Linked DNA regions of Oryzias latipes. The protein of the gene in region 2 interacts with the protein of the main gene of each other region in a biochemical or structural test. Links are inferred from orthologs where the notes say so. Each region holds a gene or a part of one and is shown on either strand. Other genes may lie near its edges.

The links.
Region 1: the proteins of tnrc6a (region 2) and protein argonaute-2 form a complex in vitro, tested with the Homo sapiens proteins (2 studies listed by BioGRID). The link is inferred for Oryzias latipes from reciprocal best matches to the Homo sapiens genes TNRC6A and AGO2.
Region 3: the proteins of tnrc6a (region 2) and cnot1 form a complex in vitro, tested with the Homo sapiens proteins (2 studies listed by BioGRID). The link is inferred for Oryzias latipes from reciprocal best matches to the Homo sapiens genes TNRC6A and CNOT1.

The regions. Positions count from the first base shown.
Region 1 is NC_019869.2:10,709,199-10,712,717, reverse strand, and holds part of protein argonaute-2, read right to left. Parts: intron 2,712-3,519; coding exon 2,527-2,711; intron 1,921-2,526; coding exon 1,761-1,920; intron 1,628-1,760; coding exon 1,537-1,627; intron 1,278-1,536; coding exon 1,083-1,277; intron 1-1,082.
Region 2 is NC_019866.2:17,690,827-17,695,019, reverse strand, and holds the start of tnrc6a (trinucleotide repeat-containing gene 6A protein), read right to left. Parts: upstream 2,811-4,193; 5' UTR 2,602-2,810; intron 1,251-2,601; exon of another isoform or gene 1,199-1,250; intron 1-1,198.
Region 3 is NC_019864.2:25,876,134-25,879,199, forward strand, and holds the end of cnot1 (CCR4-NOT transcription complex subunit 1), read right to left. Parts: coding exon 2,958-3,066; intron 2,026-2,957; coding exon 1,876-2,025; intron 1,798-1,875; coding exon 1,617-1,797; intron 1,540-1,616; coding exon 1,407-1,539; intron 1,329-1,406; coding exon 1,194-1,328; intron 585-1,193; coding exon 506-584; downstream 1-505.

The DNA of each region.
Region 1 (3,519 bases), on a different chromosome or scaffold from region 2:
ATCTAACTGTAAACTCAAATTTAAAGGACAGATTTACTAAGCAGAACCGTTGACGTCAGATCTTGAAGAATTTTGCCCCGGGGCTCGTTTAATACCGGGGCTCGGTACCCATCCCTAGGAAAGGGGCACGGTGGAGAACAATCACCAAAGCGGTTGCTTTGCATACAGCCAAAGACATGGTACCCATGTATACCGGGGAGAAGTTGGGGTTTGTTAATTTAATTAAAACCTTAGACCCCAGATATGAGCTGTATTGTTAATCCTTTAGAAAATGCTGCTACTCTCAAGGTGAATGTTTGTCTACTTTTAGTCTAGACTACAAAGTGTGACTGAAAATACAGCTGGGACTTTGATTCCAAGAGTGTGTTCATTTATTTACTATTCATCCCAGAAATGGAGGTTACATTTGTCTTCCGTTTCATTAAATAAAAGCAAAATTTGCTTTAAGTTAGGCCTGGGTAGAAAAAATTGATTGAATGAATTACTTCAAATTTTTTGTTACGGGCGATTTCAAAAATAACTAAATTGAGTTTTGTGTAATGGCGCATTTTTGGCTCCCCAGAGCTTCCGTAGCGTTAGTTTCACACAGCGGTATGGCCAGCGACAAACAACATCATACCACCAGAAAACAGCAAGCGACAACATGGCTAGCGGTGAGAGTGGAACGTTTGTTCCCAAGAAAGGAATAAAATCATCTGTTGCTTGGAACTGGTTAGTTTGCTGCCACAGACGTGTGGCAGCAACATCTGTGCCCCCCCACGCTGCAACATTTGCCTAAAGCCCATCGCAGTCAAAGGCTCTCACTCACTTTAGCGAGGCACGCCTATACAGTTAGTTCATTAGTTAGATAGTTAGTTGTTACTGTTATTTGTTAATAAAGAATACTGCGTTGTAATTATTACTTGTACTGGTCTTCATTTGAGACACGGCTGCCAGAGGATTTTTGGGAAAAGAAAATCTGGATTTTCCCAAAAATAAATCGTCCATAACAACAAATTTGAAAAAATCAATAAAATCAATTTATCGCCCAGCCCTAAGACACAAAATTCAAAGTTTTATGGTCAATCCTTTACAAGCATTACCTGGTTGAACTGGCCCTCAGAGATGCCATCTCGATAGTAAATGATCCGAGTGGGCTTGAAGCGTGTGGACTTGTAGAACTGGATCAGCAGCTCCCTCACCATGTTGGCCAGGTCTTGGATGATATCTTGGCGGTGCTGCTGCACTCGCACTGTGGCACAGTATCGACTGGGATGAGCATCCATGCTACCAACCACCTACAGAGCAGGAAAATAAGCTTTAAACGTCAATTTAAGCAGTGTACTGTAGATTATTCATGGAACTACAGACAACAACTTCAATAAATACGCTTTCAAAGCTGCTGTACAATTATAGTTGGTCAAGCAGGAGCAAACTACTGGTCACCTTGGAGCAACAGTCATTTTGGACATAATTATGAAAGGGAAAAACTAATAATAGCAGTGACATTTACATGATCTAGTAAATTAGTAAAAGATGAATTTGAATGTCACCCACAGCAGCAATGGAAGGTTTCTTTCCATCTCCAGCAGGGGGATGAGTCACATCTGAACCCAGGAAAATCACAGGCTGCTGGAAAACCATGGGCCTGGAAACGGAGGAGGCAAAAGCTCCAAACATTAAAACACAGCATGGAGTATTTTTAAGCCTCAAAAGAGTAAGAACAAAAGGCAAAATACACATTTTACTGAGGAACGAGTTAAAATGAGTCGTCACTTTACCTGCCCTGAGGGAGGAGGATGTTGTTGACTCCACCCAGCTTGACATTGATCTTCAAGCAGAGGTTGGAGAGAGTCTGGGGTGTGGTCTTCTGCACATTTTTGACCTGCACACACTGAGTCGCCATTCCAAGTACTGTATCCCCGACACGCTTCACCTCAGCTAGGAAATACACAACGTCAGAAAGATGTAAGGAATACTTTTTTTTTGCATCATAATTAGTGTACACCTGTTTAATGATCCCTTTAGAAAGACACACACCATGAGGGGCTCCACCTTTTCTTTTTACATCATAGTCCATTTAAACTAATATTAACTCATTTTAGCTTGTTAATTCCAGTAAGTTAAAAAATATATATTTTTCCATGGGGAATTCTACCACTTTAAATCCATAACATTACTTTTAACCACAAATCTTCTCTTTCATGTTGAACTGAACAGTTACATTAATAAAAAAAACCTGATCTTTTTAAAATACAAATCTACCTTTGACCAATTATGCATCGTTATAATCTTACACAAAACCGGATGTAAGAAAATTGCATCCATGTCCAACTCAGTGGGAGTGAAGAGAGTTCGCTCTGAGACTGGAGGGTCGTGAGTTCAATTCTCCTCTAAAAGATGGGACCCAATGCCTCCCTGCACCACATTCAGCATTAAAAGAGTTGGATTGGGGGGTTTAACCAACAAATGGTTCTGTCTGGGGCTCACTGCTCCCCCAGGGGATGGATCAAATGCAGGGAACAGATAAGCGGGACTTTAACTTACCATAGACGGGTGTCTTTCCAGGGAGGATGACCACCACCAGCTGAAGTCCCTGGTAAGTGTACTTGAGGTGTCTGAACATGGGCTCCACGCTGTCTGCTCCCTGGGCGTACTTGCAGAAGCATGGCTGACCTTGGATGGGCATCCCAGCATCGCGAGAGATCTTCCTTAGCTGATCAGTAAAAGCTCTGAGGAATAAAGACAGAAAATGGTTCAATATTTAAAAAGCCTTTGGACTCCGTTAAGCTTCAAATGAGAATCTACCTCGTCCAGCAAAGAAAAACATTTACTGTCAACAAAAACTTGAGCGTTTTAACCTCAAAAACTCTTCTTGTTTTTTTTGTTGTTAATTTAAAATTTTAAAGATTTCCATAACTTAAGACTACATAAAATAAATAAACCCCTTGATGCCTGAATTAATGTCCTGCTATGGAAAAAATAAAAAATAATTTTGCTTTCATGCAAATGCTCGATTAAAGTAGATTTGGAGCCGAAGTATCCTTATTATCAGTATCTTGATCCATATTTGCATCAATAGGCGTCAAGGGATTAAAGGGTCATTACCAATCAGTGCACTGTGAGAATCAGCTACACAAATCCTACAAGCACTCCCACTCCCACAAAGCCTCACAGACAGAACTGGACTGGATGCACAAGCAAAAACTGACTAACAGGACTTTTCTTAAAGCTCCAGAGTTTTGGGATTTGTTTCAGAAATCTCCGATAAAACAAAGATTTTGAGCTTTGTGCATTTCAAATCCGGCTGCAGAATATTTTGAGAAAAAATTTTTTTTAATCTCATTTTGAAAGTTTTAATTATTCTTTTTAAAACGTATAGCAGTAACTTTTGCTCCATATTGTTCCGCATTCACATCTTCGAGTGTTGGAGCTTAAAGTGCACCACATCATCTCGACCACACATGCTCCAATCGTGTTTATGAGTGGATTTTCATCAAACCAGTTTGGTGGGACACAAACATGACTTTTGAAGAGGAT
Region 2 (4,193 bases):
AAGCAAACCACCATAATAGAGTATATTGGTAAACACCATGAGTTGACTTAACAGGATTGTTTTCTTCACAAAATAAAAATTCGGGTAATTTTCCTACTCCAGATAAGAGAATTGACCAAGCAGATCTAACACTAAATAACTGGTTACTGAAACCAGCAATAGTGGTCATAACTGAACCGTTTGAGTATACAAAGTAGTCATGAGACATAGTCCTATTGTGTGCTTACATGTGCAATGATTGTCTAAACACAATGAGCAGTACAAACACCTCCCTGTGCACAACACATCAGGACGCTGGCTTCTCATTTAGAAATGGGGGGAAAGGCTACAATTCAGCACAATGTGACCTGACCAACCCAGACCCCCCAATTCAATTCAAACGGAACTGCATGTGCTAGCATAAGCAGGCGCAGCTCATCCCAAGCCCCCGCCCCTCCCAGCGGCTTCCCAAACTCACAACGCTGACAGAACATCACTCAGACAGCCATGACATCATATACTGGGATTCAGAAAATGTATTGCTTTCACTTTGGTTTACACTGATAATTCAACAAATCAGATGGGGTATGGTTAAACCTATTAAACATTTGTGACAAAACACCCCAAAGAAAGACCCACTCAAATCATCTTTGGATCTATTTTAAAAGCATCCAGTGATGTTTTAATTATGATAATGATTTAATTATGATTTTTAGCCAAAATCAAACACCAGTGAGAGCAGCAGCAGTTCATTAGAAATTCACCTCCGAGTTGTGGACAGGACTGTTTGTGTGGAGTAAGTCCGCCCCCACTTCCCATCATACATCTGTTTACATGCTTTCCCACAAGTTTACAGCCCCTTACAACCCCAACCTAACATTAGCGGTGCAACAAAAATGGCGAGCAAAATTTGAAGCTATCCAGCTGTACAGTTGACCCAGATGCCAGCTCAGACGAGGAAAACAAAGACAGACATGGATCTGGTCGTCTACAAGTGGTTGCATAAGAATGGCTTGCCAACGTTTTTTCTACATCACAAATACAATCCATTTCAAACTGCATTTTCCCCCTCTGCTCCTGATTAACCATTAGTCAAGAAAAAGTCAGAAATGCAGTTTTGAACATAAATTTGTTTATATATGTCACCAATCATCATTAACTGCATTAAACCATTTCAGCATCACCAACAGTTTCCTGGGTTTAAAAGAGTTTCACTCACCCGTTAAGACGCTTTAGTTTCTTTGGTGGCAACAGTTTCCAATTCCAAATCTCTTTAGCAAAAAGAGAAAGGAAATAGTTTATTCCCAAAGATAAATGAATAAAGTTAAGTGTAACCAGAACATTTTCCTGCAGAAAGTACCCGATTGTGCAAGAAAATGATTCTAGTGAACACCATAGTACAAGTTCCCAGAGGCATTAACTTGTAATATGACCTGCAAACTTTGAAACATTCCTAAAATCACATTCAGGGCAAACATCCAAATTATCCTGCACGCATAGACACTAGCATGAAGTATTATGCAAGTTCAGTACATACACTCAAAGTGAACTGTGGTGAAATGCACGTTTACACTGCCTTAACGTGGTACAGAGGTTTCTTACAGCTCGTCAAAGTGAAGGGAAACCAAGTGCGTGTAAAGTGACAGCAGGGGACAGTGAGAGTCTGTGTAGGTCAAAGTTACAAGTCGGGTCCTGAACGGCCATTATCTCAGCTGTTGCCCGACTTGCAGCTTAACCAACATGGCTTCTCTCTCCAGCTGTAGGTTTGCAATCAAATCTAAGAACCTCGAGTGATAAGTAAATTTACCACCGATGCATATTCATCTAAACTCTGATGTCCACCTCGGTGTTGTAAGATCAGGACGAAAAGTAATGTGGATTTGACTACAAAAAAACCCAGACCAGATTAGGGGTTTAGGGGTATTGCTGTCGTACCGCTTTATACCATAGGGGGCTTTTATCTAACAACTCCGCAGGTTAATTTCAATATAGATTTGAAATTAATTCATGACATTTTTAATTTATATGCGAAGTGATAGTAGTAAAACAGTGTTCTTAATGCAATTTGTGCACAGTATTACCTGTTCCCACCGACGAACCTGCGTCGTCAAATTAGCATGTTGCTAAGCTAATGCTAATAGCAACTACGAGGTATTTTTCCTCTAATTTAGCGATATTGGTAAGTTGTTTACAGAGAACAATGATAGTCTAGACAAAGTAAAAAAAAAATACATTTAAGACAATTAGTTAACAAAATACGCATTTTCCTAGCTACAAACATACAGCGACCAATCTAGAATAGTTAAGCGAAAGGACAAGGTTAAACCGCCTTGTTAACACATTTAAAATGGCTTTATTTTTCATTTGCGTTTAGGAAAAAACAAACGAGAGTTGCATCTTTAGCAAAACTATAAAACCAAACCGCCTTTCTAAACGCAACCTGATAGGATAGGAAAGGATAGCATAGTAGTACTTAACAATATTAGCTCCGTCATAGCTAACTAAACAACAGCGGCTGGTCAACTTATCTACCGACCTCTGGTCTTTCCTCCAGCTCCTTGCCTGCATAGCTTAACACAAGAACATAAATAAAAAATAAATAAAAATTAAAACAAAACTTACCTCATTGAAATATAAAGTGCAACAGAGAGTGGAAAATAAACTAAGTAAGGCTAAAGAAATGCAATGCGTTTGCAGCATCTACGAGTGGGGGCATTCATCCTCTGCACGATCGCCATTTTCTTGGCTCGCCGCTTTCGTTTGTGCTCTACGCTCCCCTCCTCTCTGCGTTCACTCCGTAGACATTAATAAGGTTTACACTGGCTCAGGCTGTGTACGTGTGTGATTCTAAGAGGGGGGAAGGAGGCGGGGGCGGAAACGCATAACCACTTCCTCTGACTGAGAAGACAAAACGCTGTAAAAACAAACAAACAAGAAAAACAATATATTATAGAAAAGCTATTCAGTCGCATTAAATTCTGCTTTCATCAGACAAACATAAACAAAAGTATATTGTTTGACGATTTATAAATTTATTAAAATTTAAGAAAAAAATTTGATGTAAGATTTGAAACACATAGGAAATGCTGTCCGTTTTAAATTTGTCTCAAATTATAGAATTTTGAAAGTGTGTCACTCCCCATCTAAAACATACTTTGGTATTTCTACATAGTTAAAGTTTGATGGCAAGTACGACAATTGTGACAAATAAATGCACATTTTGTGTATGAAATTACACATTTAAAGCAAAATACTTTAACTTGTGGATGAACAAGACAAGGAACTTTCCTTTAATAAATTTGTAAAATCAACTGAAAATGGACAAAACTAGAAAACTATTGACAAGGTAAAAATACTTATAAATACAAATACTAATAAAATACTAATAAATAATAGTAATAAATAAATTATACATATACATATACATATATATATATATATATATATATATATATATATATATATATATATATATATATATATATATATATATATATATATATATATATATATATATATATATATATATTGTCTATCTATCTATCTATCTATCTATCTATCTATCTATCTATCTATCTATCTATCTATCTATCTCTCTCTCTCTCTCTCTCTCTCTCTCTCTCTTTCTTTCTCTCTCTCTCTCTCTCTATCTATATATATATATACATACATATATTTATATATGTCTATAAAACTAAAAACAAATGCCCCTCTAACCCTTCCGCAGGTGGTTTCTCCTCCAAGCTCGGGTCCTCTTCCAGAGGCCTGGGAGCTTGAAGGTCCTGTGCAGTATCTTGGCTGTTCCTAGCACTGCGCTTTTCTGGACTGAGAGGTTTGAGGTCTTTTCAGGGATCTGTTGCAGCCACTCCTCCAGCTTGGGGGTTACTGCCCTGAGTGTTCCAATTACCACAGGCACCACTGTCACCTTCACTTTCCATGCTTTCTCCAGTTCTTCTGAGTCCCTGGTATTTCTTCAGTTTCTCATGTTCCTTCTTCCTGATGTTCCCATCGCTTGGCACTGCCACATCCACCACAATGGCTTTCCTCTGTTCTTTATCCACCACTACAATGTCTGGTTGGTTCGCCATTACCATCCTTATCAGTCTGGATCTGGAAGTCCCACAGGATCTTTGCCCTCTCATTCTCTACCACCTTCAGAGGTGTTTCCCATTTTGACCTTGGGGTTTCCAGTCCATATTCTGCACACATGTTCC
Region 3 (3,066 bases), on a different chromosome or scaffold from region 2:
TCAGGAACCAAAGAAAAAATTATATCAGACAGTTGTTTTTTTTCTTTTCTTTTTTTGGTAACTACCGTTCACCTCTCAAAAAAACAAAACAAGAAAAAAAAAAAGACTTGTGTTGGAGGGAAGGAACTGAGGACTTTGGTAGTAAATGTTCTGTACAGACCAGGACACATTTGACATGTGCAGCCAAATCCATCCATCCACTTCCCTGCTCTCCCTTTTCTTCTTCAATATTTACATCAATGGTCAAAATAAGCTCACATCTGTCCTCTCAACTCAAGCTTAACGGGAAAAGCTTAAAAAAAAGAAGAAAAAAAAATCTCTTTAAATCCGTGAGCAGCAGTCCTTCCATTCACATTTCACGACTGCAGGAGCCGGTTTTGTCCAGTGCCAACGGTGAAGTGGGGGGGGTCCGTGTGCTGGGGGGGCGGGGCGGGTCAAGGCCACGAATTTCTCTCCCGGGTGCTTTGAGCTGGTGGCTGCGCAGGCTAGCTGGTGGCTGCGCAGGCTAGCTGGCACTGGTGCCCTCCATTACCTGCTGGGCCTGTTTCTGCCCCATGCAGCACTGGGCGACGGACTGGAACAGCCTGGGGGCAGACGGACAGGTTAACGCAGACGGACAGGTATTCGCAGACGGACAGGTGAACGCAGACGGACAGGTATTCGCAGACGGACAGGTGAACGCAGACGGACAGGTAAACGTAGACGGACAGGTGAACGCAGACGGACAGGTAAACGCAGACGGACAAGTGAACGCAGACGGACAGGTGAACGCAGACGGACAGGTGAACGCAGACGGACAGGTAAACGCAGACGGACAGGTAAACGCAGACGGACAGGTAAACGCAGACGGACAGGTAAACGCAGACGGACAGGTGAACGCAGACGAACAGGTGAACGCAGACGGACAGGTGAACGCAGACGGACAGGTTAGCGCAGACGGACAGGTAATCGCAGACGGACAGGTGAACGCAGACGGACAGGTGAACGCAGACGGACAGGTTAGCGCAGACGGACAGGTAAACGCAGACGGACAGGTGAACGCAGACAGACAGGTGAACGCAGACAGACAGGTGAACGCAGACGGACAGGTTAGCGCAGACGGACAGGTAAACGCAGACGGACAGGTGAACGCAGACGGACAGGTGAACGCAAGCGCCCACAAACCGGACCTGAACCTGGGGTGGTGAACTTACTTCTCGATCTCGGGGGCACAGTGCACAAAGTCGTGACTCCAGAACTTAAAGGCAGGGTTCTTGATGAGCTCGATGAAGGTGATAAGGAGCCCCCACGGATGAGGCCTGTTCACGATCAGCCTCTCCAACAGAACCCTGAGAACCAGAGAGCCTACGATTAACAGGACATCCGGTGTTCACACATCAGGACGGGACAGGACGGGACCTCCCCACCTGGTGATCTGCTCCTGGATGGCCTCAGTATTGGCCTCAGCGAACAGGTACAGCATGGTGCAGCTGAAATAATGGGTGTGGCTGTTGGGGTAGCGCAGCTGATTGGCGATGGCGTTCAAAAACAAGTATCGCCCTGAAAAATCACAAAAGCAGAGATGTGAGGAGAGAGGCAACGAGAATGCTCCAAAAGTCAGCCAGACCCAAACAAACCCTCAGTGTCCAGGTCCACAGCCAGGTTCTGGAAGATGTCCATGTGTGCAGAGTGGGTGATGGTGCTCATTGAGGGGGTGCTGCCCTTGTTGTGAATATGAGCGATGGCCTGTGTGCCCACGTACAACACCAAGGCGTTGATCAGCTGAATGTTGTAGCGGTTTCCTGGTTCGTTTGACACCTGCCAGGCAGAGTTCACAGAAACCTCAGCCGCTGTGAAAACAGTTTTTGTAGCAGAAGGTTCTGGTTCTGGTTCTACCTGCAGGTTGCTGCGCAGCTCAGAGAGGAAGGTAACCGGAGAGCGCGTCTTCAGGTACGAGTCCAGATCCTTCTTAAACTGAGAGGGCATCACGCCCGTGAAGTTGGTGAGGATTCGGGGAGCAATGTTGATCTCACTCAGCATGTCCACCTGTGGGGGGATGGGCGTCATGTCAGACAGGTTGAAGTGCCAATCCCATCGTCTTTTGATCTATTTTCAAAGCATTCCCAGTGTTTTTTTTAATTATACTTATGCAGTATTTAGCCCACATCAAAAAAACTGTTGTTTTCTAGGACTTAGTTTCTGTAGAGCAGCAGTAGTTAATTAGAAATTCACTTCCTCGCTGTTGTGAAGCAGAGTGGGGCAGACAGCTTGTGCCCCGCACATGGGACTTTTTTTGTCTGATTGGGATTCACAATAATTTAAATAAAGAAACACTTCAGTTACGGATCCATGTGACGCTCGTCTAGATGGTACTTTCTGCACATTTGCAATGCACATTTTAGCCCATGGTGTTCACACTGGACAAGCAGGGAGGGGCTTCTTACTCATGTTTCCGTATCTCCGACACCTACAGTTGGAACAGGCTTGGTGTGAAATGTGGAATCGGTTTTCCGACTCTGTGTCATAAAATTCCGGTCGGGCACAAACCCCAATTATCTATTTCTCTTCCATGATCAATTTTCATACCGTTGGCACTTCTGTGAATTAAAAAGGACCCCATCCTTACGTTACTACCAAATCTGAGTCCCTGATTGGTCCAAGTTCAACTGGTTTAACTTGCAATGTGCGTTCAATGGTCACGTATTTTATACGTACAACCGTGGTAGAAACTTGGTTAGCTAAGCGAGAGTTTTGAACACGGAAGACCAAACCGCTGGTTTACCCAGACTTTTCATTCAAAATGAACACGTGTTGCCGGGGGCGGTGTGAACATAACTTCATAAATGCAATTATAATCTTCATTTTCTTTGTACACGTCGTCAATCAGGAGAAAAGTGCCACAAGGACATGTTGACGGAATGGGTCTGTAAGATCGGAGTGATGGTTCTGAATGACAGGCACAGTCGGGGCTCTCTTACCTTCAGGTTGGGGGTGAACGGGTCAGGGAGCCTCATGTTGCGTGGGAAGGCACTGAGGATGAGGTTGCGGAGCTGGATGCAGTTGGGTGGGATGACATCACAGAAGCCG